Mus musculus: one gene and its partners. The protein of the gene in region 1 interacts with the protein of each later gene in a pairwise test. Links are inferred from orthologs where the notes say so. Each region holds a gene or a part of one and is shown in the gene's direction. Other genes may lie near its edges.

The links. The genes of interacting proteins can lie anywhere in the genome.
Region 2: the proteins of Nme7 (region 1) and Shtn1 interact in binary tests that used the Homo sapiens proteins (3 or more experiments, as listed by UniProt). The two-hybrid records come from large-scale screens. The link is inferred for Mus musculus from reciprocal best matches to the Homo sapiens genes NME7 and SHTN1.
Region 3: the proteins of Nme7 (region 1) and Zbtb48 interact in binary tests that used the Homo sapiens proteins (3 or more experiments, as listed by UniProt). The two-hybrid records come from large-scale screens. The link is inferred for Mus musculus from reciprocal best matches to the Homo sapiens genes NME7 and ZBTB48.
Region 4: the proteins of Nme7 (region 1) and Lnx1 interact in binary tests that used the Homo sapiens proteins (3 or more experiments, as listed by UniProt). The link is inferred for Mus musculus from reciprocal best matches to the Homo sapiens genes NME7 and LNX1.

Annotation. Positions count from the first base shown.
Region 1 is NC_000067.6:164,342,017-164,345,824, forward strand, and holds part of Nme7 (nucleoside diphosphate kinase 7), read left to right. Parts: intron 1-1,197; coding exon 1,198-1,248; intron 1,249-3,202; coding exon 3,203-3,410; intron 3,411-3,808. UniProt on the Homo sapiens protein: Possesses an intrinsic kinase activity. Displays 3'-5' exonuclease activity with a preference for single-stranded DNA. Does not seem to have nucleoside diphosphate kinase activity.
Region 2 is NC_000085.6:58,975,070-58,978,569, reverse strand, and holds part of Shtn1 (shootin-1), read left to right. Parts: intron 1-959; exon of another isoform or gene 960-1,096; intron 1,097-3,361; coding exon 3,362-3,500. UniProt on the Homo sapiens protein: Involved in the generation of internal asymmetric signals required for neuronal polarization and neurite outgrowth.
Region 3 is NC_000070.6:152,021,944-152,024,612, reverse strand, and holds part of Zbtb48 (telomere zinc finger-associated protein), read left to right. Parts: intron 1-1,805; coding exon 1,806-1,917; intron 1,918-2,378; exon of another isoform or gene 2,379-2,493; coding exon 2,494-2,586; intron 2,587-2,669. UniProt on the Homo sapiens protein: Plays a critical role in transcriptional regulation and chromatin remodeling. Acts as a regulator of telomere length. Directly binds the telomeric double-stranded 5'-TTAGGG-3' repeat.
Region 4 is NC_000071.6:74,605,404-74,608,903, reverse strand, and holds part of Lnx1 (E3 ubiquitin-protein ligase LNX), read left to right. Parts: exon of another isoform or gene 1-998; coding exon 999-1,167; intron 1,168-2,641; coding exon 2,642-2,867; intron 2,868-3,500.

The DNA of each region.
Region 1 (3,808 bases):
GTCTTAGGTACAAACAGTTGCATAGAAGACAGTTTGACACCTGTCAATTTAGGTAAAGAACAGCAGTAGGTTTCCCACAATGGTCTATGGCCTCCCTAGCCATGGATAAGCTCTTAAAAGTATTGTATACAAAATGATTTTTCAAGTCTAAAAGGTTTAAAAGTTTAAAAGGGTTTTTGCTAGTGAACACTTAGTTTATTTGCAATTTTAAAAAATAGTTGAAGGGCTGAAGAGATGGCTTAGCAGAGAAAAGCACTGGTTGCTCTTCCAGAGGAGCCCAGTTCGGTTCCCAGTACCCACAAGGAGGTAGATAACCATCTGTAACTCTAGGGGATCTGGCACCCTCCTCTGGAGACAGCAGGTACTGCATGCATGTGCTAAAGAGACGTGCAGGCTAAACCCTCTACATTTAAAATACATTAACATTTAAAAGATTAGTTGGTGTTTATATATAGTTGTTACATAACATAAAATCTTTTCAATCCAGTAAGAAATCTGCACAGTTAGGATTTTGGTCGGGGAGAAGAAAGCTTTTATTAGATCTTTAAGCTTACCAGTTTAGATTATAGTATCTTTTTATTGTCTCTATAGATACTTTTAGTGGAAATGTAGATTTTAATATGTATAATTTGTGAAGCAATTAAAAATACAAATATGTAGATCTTTTCCTTGAATATATCTAGCTAAGAACTAAGCAACAACTAGTAAGTTAAAAACTACAGGGCTTGAGATGTCGCTCAAGAGAAGAGTCCCTCCTAGCATGGGTGAGGTCCCAGGTTTATCCCAGCAAATGACAAAAATAAAATAAACTGGAGCCTAAATTTGAAAGCTTAAAATTAATTCTAATTTTTGAATTAGAAGCTGTCCATTTTTTTATGTGACTTGTTTAGATTTTAAGTAACAAACACTCTTACTGATCTGATATCTAACATTGTATTAACAATAGAATGAGATGCTAGTAGAATGGAAGACAGGTGAAGTGTAACATTAATAAAAAAAGTAAAAATATCCTCTTACTTTAATTTTATATCTTTCCATATGTAGGATCATTACTTGGGATATGCTATTTAGTGGAAAGAACATTAATTAGTTTATATATAGATCATGTGTGTGTGCTTTAATCTTTATTTTAGTTTATGAATATAAGCTAAAATATTTTTATAAATTTTAACTGTTTGTATTTTTATTATCTTATAGGAAAGAAGCAGCGGACTTTCATGTAGACCATCACTCAAGACCTTTTTATAAGTAGGTACTCAGCTTGGGGACTAAAATTATTTTCTTTATACTTTTAATAGATAAGACTTTTTATATCCACCACTCAATACTTGAACCTTTAATCAGAAACAAATGGGTGACCTATTTGTTTTAAGAAACATCTCTTTTATATCTCATTGAATTAAAAGACCATGCTTGTAATTATATTTTATGTTGGCAATTTTGTTGTGCTTTTAAGGCCTTTATTTTTATATCTAGTATGGACAAAGCAGTAGTCACAAAACTAAATAAGGATATGTGTTTTGTTTCATTGGCAATGACTAATCATATATGTTAGAAACTGAAATCTATTCTAAGAATTTGGATGTAATTAAAGTGAAATGTGCATACTCACTGTCATGGACAAAGGAATGACAAATTCTAATAAAGACAATGAAATATTAGCCAATCTGCTACAGTAGACATTTTATTTGATATCATACATAGAAGAATAACTTTTAAAAAAGAAATATTTATAACAAAATTATTGTATATCATATCTTGTGAACTACCATATATTATAAAATGTTCCTAAACTTTGTTAGCATTATCATATACATTTGTTTGGCAATTATTCTTTGTTTTAGATTCTTTGTATGCTTTTATAATACTAAATTACAGCTCTTAGTTTAATATTGTCTATATAATTCATATGCAGAAAGTTTCAATGAATAAATTAGCTGGTTCTGTGGCACTGAGACTTAACAAATGACTAGCTAGAGAAACTGGAAGTCAGTCATGATCAGTATCTTCTCAGTAGCCCACCATTCCCTTAGTTGTCACATGCCACATTAGAGAATTCTGTGTTAATTGGATACTAGATTAGATTGTTTGAGGTTGGATCTTATTTTATGGCTTAGATTTTGACATGTGGATAATATTGATAATTAAATTCCTTCCTTCCTCCTTTCCTTCCTTCCTTCCTTCCTTCCTCCCTTCCTCCCTTCCTCCCTTCCTTCTTTCCTTCTTTCCTTCGTTCTCTTTTCTTCTTTTTGTTTGGTTTTGGTTTTGGCTGCTAAAGCCTAGCAGAAGTTTGAGGAGGTCTTGTCCTCTTAGCACTGTGGCTGTAGATACTTCCTTTTACATGCTATTTCTTGGAAATGCTCTACTACGTGAACTGCAGAGATTAGTGAAGGGCTCAGAAGCTTGTATTCCATGCAGCCCTAAGGCAATAGGCATGGGAAGGCCCGTACACTGCCTTCCTTTCTCTGAGAAGGCCCTGTCCTCTCTCTGGTTTGCCTCTCCTTTAGAAGGTAAGAGGCAGGACGTCACTTTATTTCGAGTTAAATTTATCGTTGCATCGCGTGCACATGAAGAAATAGGAAAAGAGAATGAAGCGTCAGCTTTCATTTCCAGGGAACTGGGACTCAGACATAAACTTCAATAAAAGCCGTGCGTCTGGTCCACCCCTTAGATATCATTACCCAGGCAGGTTTCCTCCTAACGAAGGCCTGTTTTTGAAGGCCTGTTGCCATTCTTTTTCTTTATCACACTGACTTAGAGTTGTCACTCTCTGCATTGCAGTAGTTACACACAACAGAATTAACTAAGTCCTTCTTGAGAATGTTACGAAATACCATGCTTGTCACTGCTGTTATAACATTCTCCCTGACTGCTGTGGTAAACTGTTAGGAAACTAAAATGGAATCAGCTTTGTCCTTCTTAGAGTAGTGGGGAATATCAGATCAGCCATGTGCATTTTACGTTGGCATAATCATCCAAATTCAACAAGTGTCTCCTTCCCTTCCAAACAGAAGTGACCTTGTCATATCTTCTGTAATGATTTTGTAGCAAACTCAGTCTCTGTAAGGCACTCCCCTTTTCCCAGAAACGGATCCCAAGCAGGCCAGTCCTCGAGCTTACTGATGTCCTAACATGTCTTCGTAGTCTAGCAGGTGTCTAGATTGTAGTAGAGAAGTAACTCGGGCTTTCCCCTGCTTCCCAGCGAACTGATCCAGTTTATCACAAGTGGGCCTGTTATTGCCATGGAGATCTTAAGAGATGACGCGATCTGTGAGTGGAAAAGGTTGCTTGGACCCGCAAACTCTGGGCTATCACGGACAGATGCCCCCGGAAGCATCCGAGCCCTCTTTGGGACAGATGGCGTGAGAAATGCAGCTCACGGCCCTGATACTTTTGCATCTGCTGCCAGAGTAAGTTGGTTTTGAGAAATATTTTCCTTCTGTTTTATTTGGGAATTTTTTGTGTGTGTCAAAGTAAAACGTTTCTCCTGCTGAGGACTTTGGGAGGTTTTGAACAGCTAATGTAGTAGTGGGAAACACCTGGTGACGGTTTTCTAGGATCAAATAGGGATTCAAAGCCATGCCCCCTTTTAAAATTAGTCCTGTTGGTTGCTGTTGTTGAGTGCAGTTTTCTCAAAATCTGACATTTGTTGCCACCCATCTTTCTGTAAAAGATTAAATTGCTGAGGCTCATGTTTGTGACTTAATTTAGCTAAGAATACTAGTTTATGGATCTATAGTAGATATTCCAAAGTGAGGTTTCATTTGAGTAGTCTGTTTGTAATCCAGATGAGCCGGTGGTGTAAGCT
Region 2 (3,500 bases), on another chromosome or scaffold:
CATGGGATTGGGAATGTATTAGTTGCCTTTTCTGTTGCTATGATAAAAATACTTTAACAAAGGCATCTTAAGGTGGAGAGGGTTAATTTGTGCTGATAGTGTGACAGTGCATTAGTCCACTGTGACAGGGAAAACCTGATAGCTAAAGGTCAAGGCAGCCATGCACATTGCATCCATACTCAGGAATCAGAGGACAGTGAATGCTACAAGTCAGCTCTTTCTAATATTCAGTCCAGGATACAAGCCTAGGGAATGGTGCTGCCCACATTCAGGGTGGGCCTTCCCTCATTAACTTAGTCTAAATAATTGCTCCACAGGCATACTCTGAGGCTTGTCTCCTGGCAACTTTACCATCAGTGGCATCATGGGGATAGAGATGGAATGTTCTAAGAAGGCTTCAGGCTCTAAAAGGAGCTTTGAGAAGGTCCCCGGGAGACCTAGGAAAGGACCTAGTGATATCAAACCAGGAAGCTTGAGCATTGAGCATTGTCCTCTGAAAGACAGCATTGATCTGAAAGTTGCAGATAGAAACAATGGAAATAAACTAGTAGAAATGTCCACAGATTACGCTGTGGCACCTGTGCTATATTTGGAAAATAGCTCAATCCTAAAGAGAAGACAGCTCAGACTCCTGCACTGGCTCTGCCACTCAGGAGCAGCGTACTCTTAGGCCAGGCTGTCCCCCTCTGCACACAGAACTGCCCCCATCTACAAAAGGGCAGTTTGGATAGATGGCCGCTCTTACTCTCTTCTGTCTTGCCCTGGGGTTCCAAGGGAGTGCCCCCCTGCCTAGTCTCCACCGTGCCTAGTTCAGTGGAGGAAACTGTGAGATCCTGGAGCTAGCCTGCCAGCAACTTCTCAGGTTAGCCTGCCAGACGAGTGTGGCTTGCTTGAGGAGAGATAGACAGTCCAAGGTTTTTAAGTTTTCAGATCAATCAGCCTGTGTGTTGCTGCCATAGGATGCTGAGAGCAGTTCCTGGAGAGTTCTAATTCCCAGCTGATGAAGACAGCTTTTGCTAGGAGATGTTAACCACCCTTCGCCTGCAGACACACGGGGCCATGAAAACGCCCACAGTAGCCCAAGGGAGCAACAGAGGTTGGTATGGACCGATGGCAGTTGCTCACTCCAAACGGCAGAGTGAGATCCATCGCTTTGCATGCTTCCAACATGCTGGTGGGTGACAGCAGCGGGCGCACAAGCAAGCTGGTGACCCGACCCTGAGCCAAGCTGCAGCTTCACTTCCTGGGACACCCCATATGCTTTGTTTCCAGGTTCTCGTTGGCCACAAGAGAGATGTATGAGGCAGGCGTGAGATGATGATGTTTTAATAATGTTTTCTTTGAACCCTGAGGAAGTTCATGTGTAGCTTATCTGGGATAGCGTATGAAGGGCACGATGTGCTGACCCACTTGAGGGGCATGTGCCAGCGGCTGGCCTGTGGATCAGTCCTGCGGTTCCTCCCAGCTTTTCCTCCAGCTTGCCCGCTTCCCAGCCCGCTTCCCAGCTCAGATGCATGTGCAGGTTCCGCGTGAGAGGGCTCAGCTTGTCCTGTGGGGTCGGTACATCAGCCTGATGGGCCTTTCTCACAGAAAGATGCATCTCTAGTTTGTCCTCAGTCTCTGCCCGTTTGCAGCCAGCTTGCCTTTGAGCTGCCGGAATGCCTAGCTTCTTGCATAGAGATGGCCGACTCGCACAGTGCCCTCCGTTGCCCAGAGTCTAAGGTGGCTCTGCTTTTCTGAGAAGCTGTAAGATGTTGCCTGGGCCGGAGAAAGTTGAAACAGGTACTACCAAGGAAATGACACCCCATCCCACCTCTAGGACAGAGTATCGGGTGTTTTGAGAAATGTTTCATTGGCTAAGGTAGACAGACAGCAACAGCATGGTCTCTGTCATGTCCGTCCCTAAGGATCTCCTTCCTTCTGCCATTTCCCTCGTGTTTTTAATATGGCCTGTCAGCCGGAGAATGTCTTTGCAGGCATTTGGTTAGAGTTTGCGGTTATGACGGTGGTTTTCCAATTCAGGCTTTTATGCCTTGTGAGCGTAGGCCACCTTCCATAATAGATGGCTTGTTCTGTTTCCACGTATAGATGAGACTTCCAGCTCTGTTCTCACCCAGGCTTCCACTCTGAGTCTTCTTTAGTCTGATGTTATTTATTTGTTCATTTGTTTACTGTATACATGATCTACATGGGTGCTGGGGGTAGAAAAGGAGAAATACTGCATGTGAGAGGAGCTATCGTATGATCTGTCCTGCTCAAGAAGGCAGGCCAGTGGAAATCAGTGCCTGGCAAAGGCCGGGGCAGGTAGGTCAGTGAGCAGGTGCTAAGCAGTAGCTCTTTGTCACATATCAGGTAGGCCTTCCATGTCCTGGCTCACAGTTGGTTCTCTGGAGTGAAAGTCTCATCCTGGAATTGGCCATTGGTTGGGAAGACCAGAATAGTCTTGAGAGCCGTGGCCCTGACACTGCAGCTACTGCATTCCCTCTAGACAAGCCCAGCAGCCCGAAACCTTCCCTGGGTAGGTGCTGACCATTACTTCTGAGACTCGGGACACATGGCAAGAGTGTAAGTATGAAGAATACCTCGGTTCCCACAAGGAAACTTTGTTGCCTGCCTGGCATGAGAAACAATAGCTTCTTGGATCAGGAGGGAGGTAACTTCTGAGGAAAAGAAAACCACTTGCAAAATTCTAAAAGAAACTTCTCAAGAACCACTTTCTTCTGGTTAGGGAAGTTTCTGGACACTTGGTGTGCGTCAGACCCCATTCCCTGAGGGCTCTCCTCAGCCCTTTTTTCCACCCACCTCCTGAGGTCAGGTCTCCCTCCTGGGTGGTAATGGCTGTGGTGGGCACAGCTGGCTGCCACTCTCATCTGTCCATCACTGAGCCAAGATGATCCCCAGCTCTCTCTATGCAGCCTCTTCACAGCTAAGCTGCAAACAGCTGTACTGGGGGCAAGAGGGAGTGGGGGTCTAGGCTGGCTCCTTGTAGCTGAACAAGAGCTAGTGGGACAAAGGCAGCGTGGGCAGTGTTTGGGATTGCAGATGGAGCCAGGGGCTGCGCACTTCCTAGAGGAACAAGCAATTAAGCAGGTAGGTGCAGTTGGCATTTTTTTACTTCCGTAGTTAATCGCTTTGACTCTGTCTGCCTTCTCTCTCCTGGCCTTCTGCTCCTATTACGTAATCGGATATCTGCTGCTGCTTTCTGTTTTTCAAATGGCTGGCATCCCAAAGACCACGCGTTGTGCATGTCGGTTAGACTTAGGACCGTTTCTGTTGTCATTTTTCTGAATCCAGGAACCTGAAATCCAAATGTTTTCTTTCTTCTGCTTAGTTGTTTTTCTATCTAACTCTCTTCTCACAGGCCTCCCAGTAAAGGTGGATACAGGAGAAAATGTGTGGGCAGTGAAAACCAAGCTGAGCCAGTTGTAGTATTAGATCCTGTTTCCACACACGAACCCCAAACCAAAGACCAGGCTGCTGAAAAAGACCCAACTCAATTC
Region 3 (2,669 bases), on another chromosome or scaffold:
CCGTGTCTCAAAAGAATAATAGAAAATGAGGTCCTTGCAGTGGCAGGGACTACGGGGGCGAGGATTCTTAGAGAGAAGAAGATGAGAGTAGGTTTGGCTTCTGGACGGACATACAGGAGACTCAGTGCTACCCATGGCGCTGAGGTCAGGGTTGGTTTGGTTTATTCAGCTGCTGCTGCACTTGGGATGAGATGATGTAGCCCTTGAAGATGAAGGTCTTCATGGCGCTCGGATGCAGCACAGGTACAGCAAGCCTTGTGTCTTGCAGGAAAGGAAGCAGTACTTTAGCATGAAGCAGACAGCCTGAGCCTGCACTTTTTGGGAGTTCCAGGCCAGTTGGGGCTTCAGTGTGTGGCACCCTGTTTAGGGAGGTAGGAGAGTAGGGGCAGAGGAACTGGGAATTGGAGTCTACTGTATAGATAAGGTTAGTGGTATTTATTTATTTATTAAGAAGGTGGGGTGCTTCCTCCTCCCTTGTGACCTTCAGTGCTAGGGACTGAAGCCCAGGGTCTTTGCCACTGAGCTATACCCCAGCCCATTTGTAGTGAGACACGCCTTACTAAATTGCCTAGGCTGATGATCCTTCTGCCTCAGCTTGGAGCAGCTGGGAATGGGCTGTAGCTCAGTCTTTTGTTTTTTTTTTCTTCCCGAGACAGGGTTTCTCTGTAGCCCTGGCTGTCCTGGAACTCATTCTATAGACCAAGCTGGCCTGGAACTCAGAAATCCGTCTGCCTCTGCCTCCTGAGTGCTGGGATTAAAGGCGTGTGCCACCACGCCCGGCTGTAGATCAGTCTTAATCTGTTTGCCTGCCAGGTGAGGCCCCCATGTTCAGTCCCCAGGATGCTAGGGGGGAAAGATCCAGACCAAGTGGCTGAGGTTACACTGCCGGCCTCTGCCACCCGTCTAGGCTAGGAGACTTGGAGGATGTGTGGAAGCCAGTCACTGGTGAGAGTCTTCTGGCTGGGAGAGGAGCTAGCTGGCTGTTGTGAGTGGTAGGGCCTGACCTGGAGTTGGCATGGCATGGGGTAAGGTCAGTGAGGGGCAGGCTGGTTCACTGGCTACCCATGTCCTCTGCCCCCTGGGCTCTCAATACAAAATAAGCACTGGCAGGTTGTGAGCCCAAGGGGCCACCTTTTCTGCAAAGAGTCTGGACTTAATGGAGCCTCCTGGAGAGATAGGTAGGGAGCCAGGAACCAGTGGTGACTCAAGGACTCCATGAACTGCTCCAGCCACGCCCTTGCTGGCACCTGTGAAATGGACGCACAGAATCTGGTTGTGGAGTCCCACATTTACTTCTTTACTGAGTGTGGGAGGGTCACGTGCAGACGTCAGTGTACAGCTTGTGGGAGTTGTTTTCTTCACCTCATGTGTCTCAGGGATTGAACCTGGGTCCTCTGGCTTCTCAGCAGCAAGTGCTTCTGAGCATTGAGCCATATCACCTGTCCTGCCATGGTGTTGAACGTGGGGTCCGCAGAGGGGAAGATGTCAACCAGGTCTTGTCAGTGAAGTTTTGAGGCAGCCATTTAGGGAGGCTGGCAGATGAAGGGCTGGCTCTTCCTGGCTCCCTCCTGGCTGTCTTTCCATGGCTACTATTTCTTCCTGAGGCTCTCTAAGCTGGAGGGGGTTTCTAGCCTTCCCTTACATGAGCAAGCTGGGTGTCGCTAAGTCTACATGGTTAACTCCAGCTAGACTTAGGACACTTCTTCCTCCTAATGAGCACAGCATGTCTGTGGCAAGAGCTGGAGGATCAGAGAGCTGGGAAACCCTCTTAGCCCCCACGCCTCTGTGGCCTCTCTTCCTGGCAGGAAACACACTGGGGAGAAACCCTTCGAGTGTCCCAAATGTGGGAAGTGTTACTTCCGCAAGGAGAATCTCTTGGAACATGAAGCCAGGAATTGCATGAACCGCTCAGAACAGGTACTTGGGAATTGGTCCAAGTATTTGTGGGCAGCAGCACAGTGCCTGTGTCTTCATGCCATCTGGGAAGGATCCTCAGGAAACCCTACGGGATTATAAAATAAGAACTGCGGGGCCTGGCAGGTCCGCATCCTAGTACTTGCCGGACACATGAGTTCAGAGGGCACAAGGGATATTTTGGGTTTGCCTGCCTGGGCTCCTGGTCTAGCTCCATCTTATGCTTTGGAGCAAGTAAAGTATTTGTGGGAGATGGCTGCCAGGAAGGGCCACTTTGTCGGCACCCCGCCCCTCCAAGTGGGTAGTGTTTGGCTAAACCCTGTCATCCTCTTCCCAGAGACTGGCCAGTAGCAGCTGGCTCTGTCTCTAGCCTGTCTGAAGCCAAGAAGGGTCTGGCGTGTGGTAGTGTGCAGTGCTCTGATGGTCAAGGCAGGCAGGTTACATGTTGCCCTCTCCTACCCCAGCATCCCCTACCCCAGGCAGACACTTACCAGCAGCGTTTGGAAGCCCCTGCAGAGGCTGCCGTCGCAGGCAGAGGCCCTCCCTGATGCTGGCCCTGCTTGCCCCTCACACTGCCAGGTCTTCACATGCTCCGTATGCCAGGAGACCTTCCGACGGAGGATGGAGCTGCGCTTGCACATGGTGTCTCACACAGGGGAGATGCCCTACAAGGTCAGGCCCGCTTGTCCCAGGGCCATGGGCTGGGGTGGGGGTACGGGGTATGTAGCTCTCTGCCTGGGATGGTACCTGGCACT
Region 4 (3,500 bases), on another chromosome or scaffold:
GGACAAGTGCAGTCCTGGTGCTCAGCTACTTGGTTCAGCTGTTTGGAATGCACCAAAAATAGGGAAGATGTATAAGATAGGCCAAATTTTTGCATCTGTGTATGGTTTGCATGCACGTGCATATGTGTATTTACAGACACGTGAATGCATGCGCATGTGTGAGCGTGTGCATGTAGAAGGCAGAGCATGACATCAGGTATTTTTCTTGGTTGCTCTCTATCCTATTTACTGAGATTGCTTCACGCCAAAGCTGAGCTTGCCTAATTGCCGAGTCTTAACTAGCCATCTCTCTCCGTTGGATCTCTGAACTCTGGATTACACATGAGCCACCATTTTATATGGTTAGCTTTTCTATGAGTGCTACAAGATCTGAACAGTGGTCCTCAGACCTGTGCAGGAAGCACTACAGCCAACAAGCCATCACCCGAGGTCCATGATGTAAGAAAAATTTTAAACCTAGACAAGCTTTTGCCAGGCTGGCAAAATTGCTCAGTGGGTAAAGGCGCTTGCTGTCAAGCCTACCAGAATGGGTTTGATCCCTGGGACTCACAGGGTGGAGTCAGAGAGCCAGCTTCTGTAAGTTGTCCTCTGACCTCCATATGTATGTTCTAGCATGTGCCCCTCAAACTTCCACACATTCCATTAATCAATATGATTTTAAATATGAAAGACATACTGATATTCATGTACAGTGAGTGTTCTGAGAAGTTGGCCTACTGTTGTCAGAAATGGCTGACTTCCTTGAGAGATTTGAGATCCAGTCCAAATTTATAAGATCCAGATTTCTACCATGGTCCCCAGGCTGTTGCCTCTGTACGGTTAGTATTCCGTTCTGCAATGTAAACTTCTCGGAGTCAAGCCTTGGAATTTGCGATGCTGTATTTGTGATGCTGGAATTTGAGGTGCTGTAACTCTCTTGATGCGAATGGGAAAACGTGCGCACTCTCAGAGAGGCCGTGTGAGTGTATGTGCCATGTTCTTTGTGTCTGTGCCTTCAGCCTGCAGCCACCTGTCATGAGAAGGTTGTAAGTGTCTGGAAAGACCCCAGCGAGTCTCTCGGCATGACCGTCGGAGGGGGAGCATCCCACAGGGAATGGGACTTGCCCATCTATGTCATCAGTGTTGAACCCGGCGGAGTCATAAGCAGAGACGGGAGAATAAAAACAGGTACAAACTCAAGAGAATAAAGGCGCTGGGGTGGCAGAGCCTGGGGCGGAGCTAGGAGCTCGCTGTTGAGTTCCTTAATTGCTCTCCCAGAGTCAAGGAGAGCATGTCAGAGGGAACTGGCCATGACTGCTGTGTCCCTTTGAGCAGGATGAGCACGAGTGTAGCAGTAGTCTAGGCTCACCCCTCTTAGTGCATGGAAGTAGGCATGAGGCAGCTTTGCTAGGGAAGCTAGAGTCCCTGGACTTTCCAGGCTGAGCAGACAGCCACTACACCCATGAACAAGGTGCCGCTAAGGCACAATTTAGTTCCACGCAATCTAACAGCCCTAAGGATTCTGTGGATTGTACCATTTGGTGGGGCTAAATGGGGTGAATCTATTGAGAGATCTTGATTCAATGGTATAGTTAAATATCATTAGTGGGACTTTGTTCCTTGGTGAGAAATGGACCTCTCTTAGCCACTCATGTTCTGGGCTCCTCTACATAAAGGAAAGTACCCAGTTTACCTTGTGAGTACGTGTTCTCAATAACGCTGTTCAAGCACATGAAGAGGTCACCTAGGTAAAGGAACAGTTGTGCTTTTGAAGGGCTCAGATTTAAGACAGAAAAAAGTCTCTCAAATACATGCACTTGAGTGTGGCATAGTATATATAGGATTTAGGCAGACAATCAAAGGTGGTTTTTTTTTTTCTTTTTTCTTTTGTCTTAAGTCAGCAAGCATTTGAGGATACCCCTTGTCATTTTCCTCCTGACTACAATTATTCTGTGTGAAAAAAGATGATATATAAGAAGCAAGACAAAAAAACAAATAACAACAACAACAAAAACCCGAGAGATAGTTGAAAGACAAGCCATCGAGGGCAGGGAGATCCATCTTAAATTCTCCTGCTGCTCAGCAAGCACCCGGGGTGAAGAATAAGCTCTGACAAGAAGTGACATTGTAGCATGTCACATATAGAAGCAGTTTTGCACAGAGTAGGTGCTTAGCTAATGCGACACACAGAGATGTCTTGACTAGAAATGATAACTATACACCTCTGTGAAAGCTCAGGTTCAGGGCCATTCTTTATCTGCCCTGGGCTCCTGTGCCAGACACTAACTCCTGCTTCGGTCCCTGTTTGTACATAGCAGGCTCTCTGCGGGCACTGGAGCCTTATGCCAACTGCTCTCATTGTGTGCTCAAGAAACTAGGAAACTAAAAGAGTGAGATTGCAGCTTGTCTTTGGTTAAGTAGTCAAGGAAGCTATTTAAGTCAGGCAACAGATGAACGTCACTAGGCCATTGTTAGAGACTCCCAACAAGCCATTCCCACATGCTCTACCATCTGCTAAAGGGGACCCAGTCTCGTGTCTCTATGAGCTGAAGATATGCGCCTCTCCTCACCCTGCCCCTGTGCCCGGTCAGCCGCTGTCCTGTCACACGGAGCAGAATCCCATTTGCACTCAGTGAGGTTGCTTTTGCTTCTCTGGCCTCAGGTGACATTTTATTGAATGTGAATGGGATTGAGCTCACAGAGGTCAGCCGGACAGAGGCCGTTGCCATACTGAAGAGCGCACCCTCCTCAGTGGTACTCAAAGCCTTGGAAGTCAAGGAACAGGAGGCCCAGGAAGACTGCAGCCCAGCAGCCCTGGACTCCAACCACAACGTGACCCCGCCTGGTGACTGGTCCCCATCCTGGGTCATGTGGCTGGAATTACCACAGTGAGTCCCAATTCAACACCCCAATGGATTCTATTTCTTAATCCACTTTCACTGTCTTGGGCCAATTTATGGGCACTAGCATCTTGCTAGGACCCAGTCTTCTCTGTGGGACTGTTGGGAATAACTGTCTTCTGTTGGCAAATGAAAATCCCTATAGAAATCTTAGGGTAGAGGTGGAAGTCTAGAAAGAGAAGCTTCTAGATATTCTTGAAGTGTTTACAGTTACCAGATGGTTCATGTAGCAGGGGGTTCAGCTGACTGACAGACATTCAGCCTGTGTTTCCACACTCATGAGCTGAGTTGCATCTGCTCACACCAAGCTTCACCTTTGCATGGGTATGAGTGGGAGCTGCAGACCGGCTGTGGTCCTACTCTGAGGCTTCCAGAAGCTCTGACTATACGCACAGCAGCGCAGCAAAACATCATGGCTTCAGAGAGTTACGTGTCTGCTAGCTGGGGATGCTTCTCACAACATCTCTTTTCAGTGACTCCTCTTGGAAAGTCCTTTAGGAAGCAACTAGGGTACCATTTTTCTGAGGTATAGCAGGAGAGCTCCACAAAATGGCTCTGAACATGAACTGACTAGTTAAAATGGACAGATAAATTTGATGTTTGCTTCCTTGGACTAGAGCA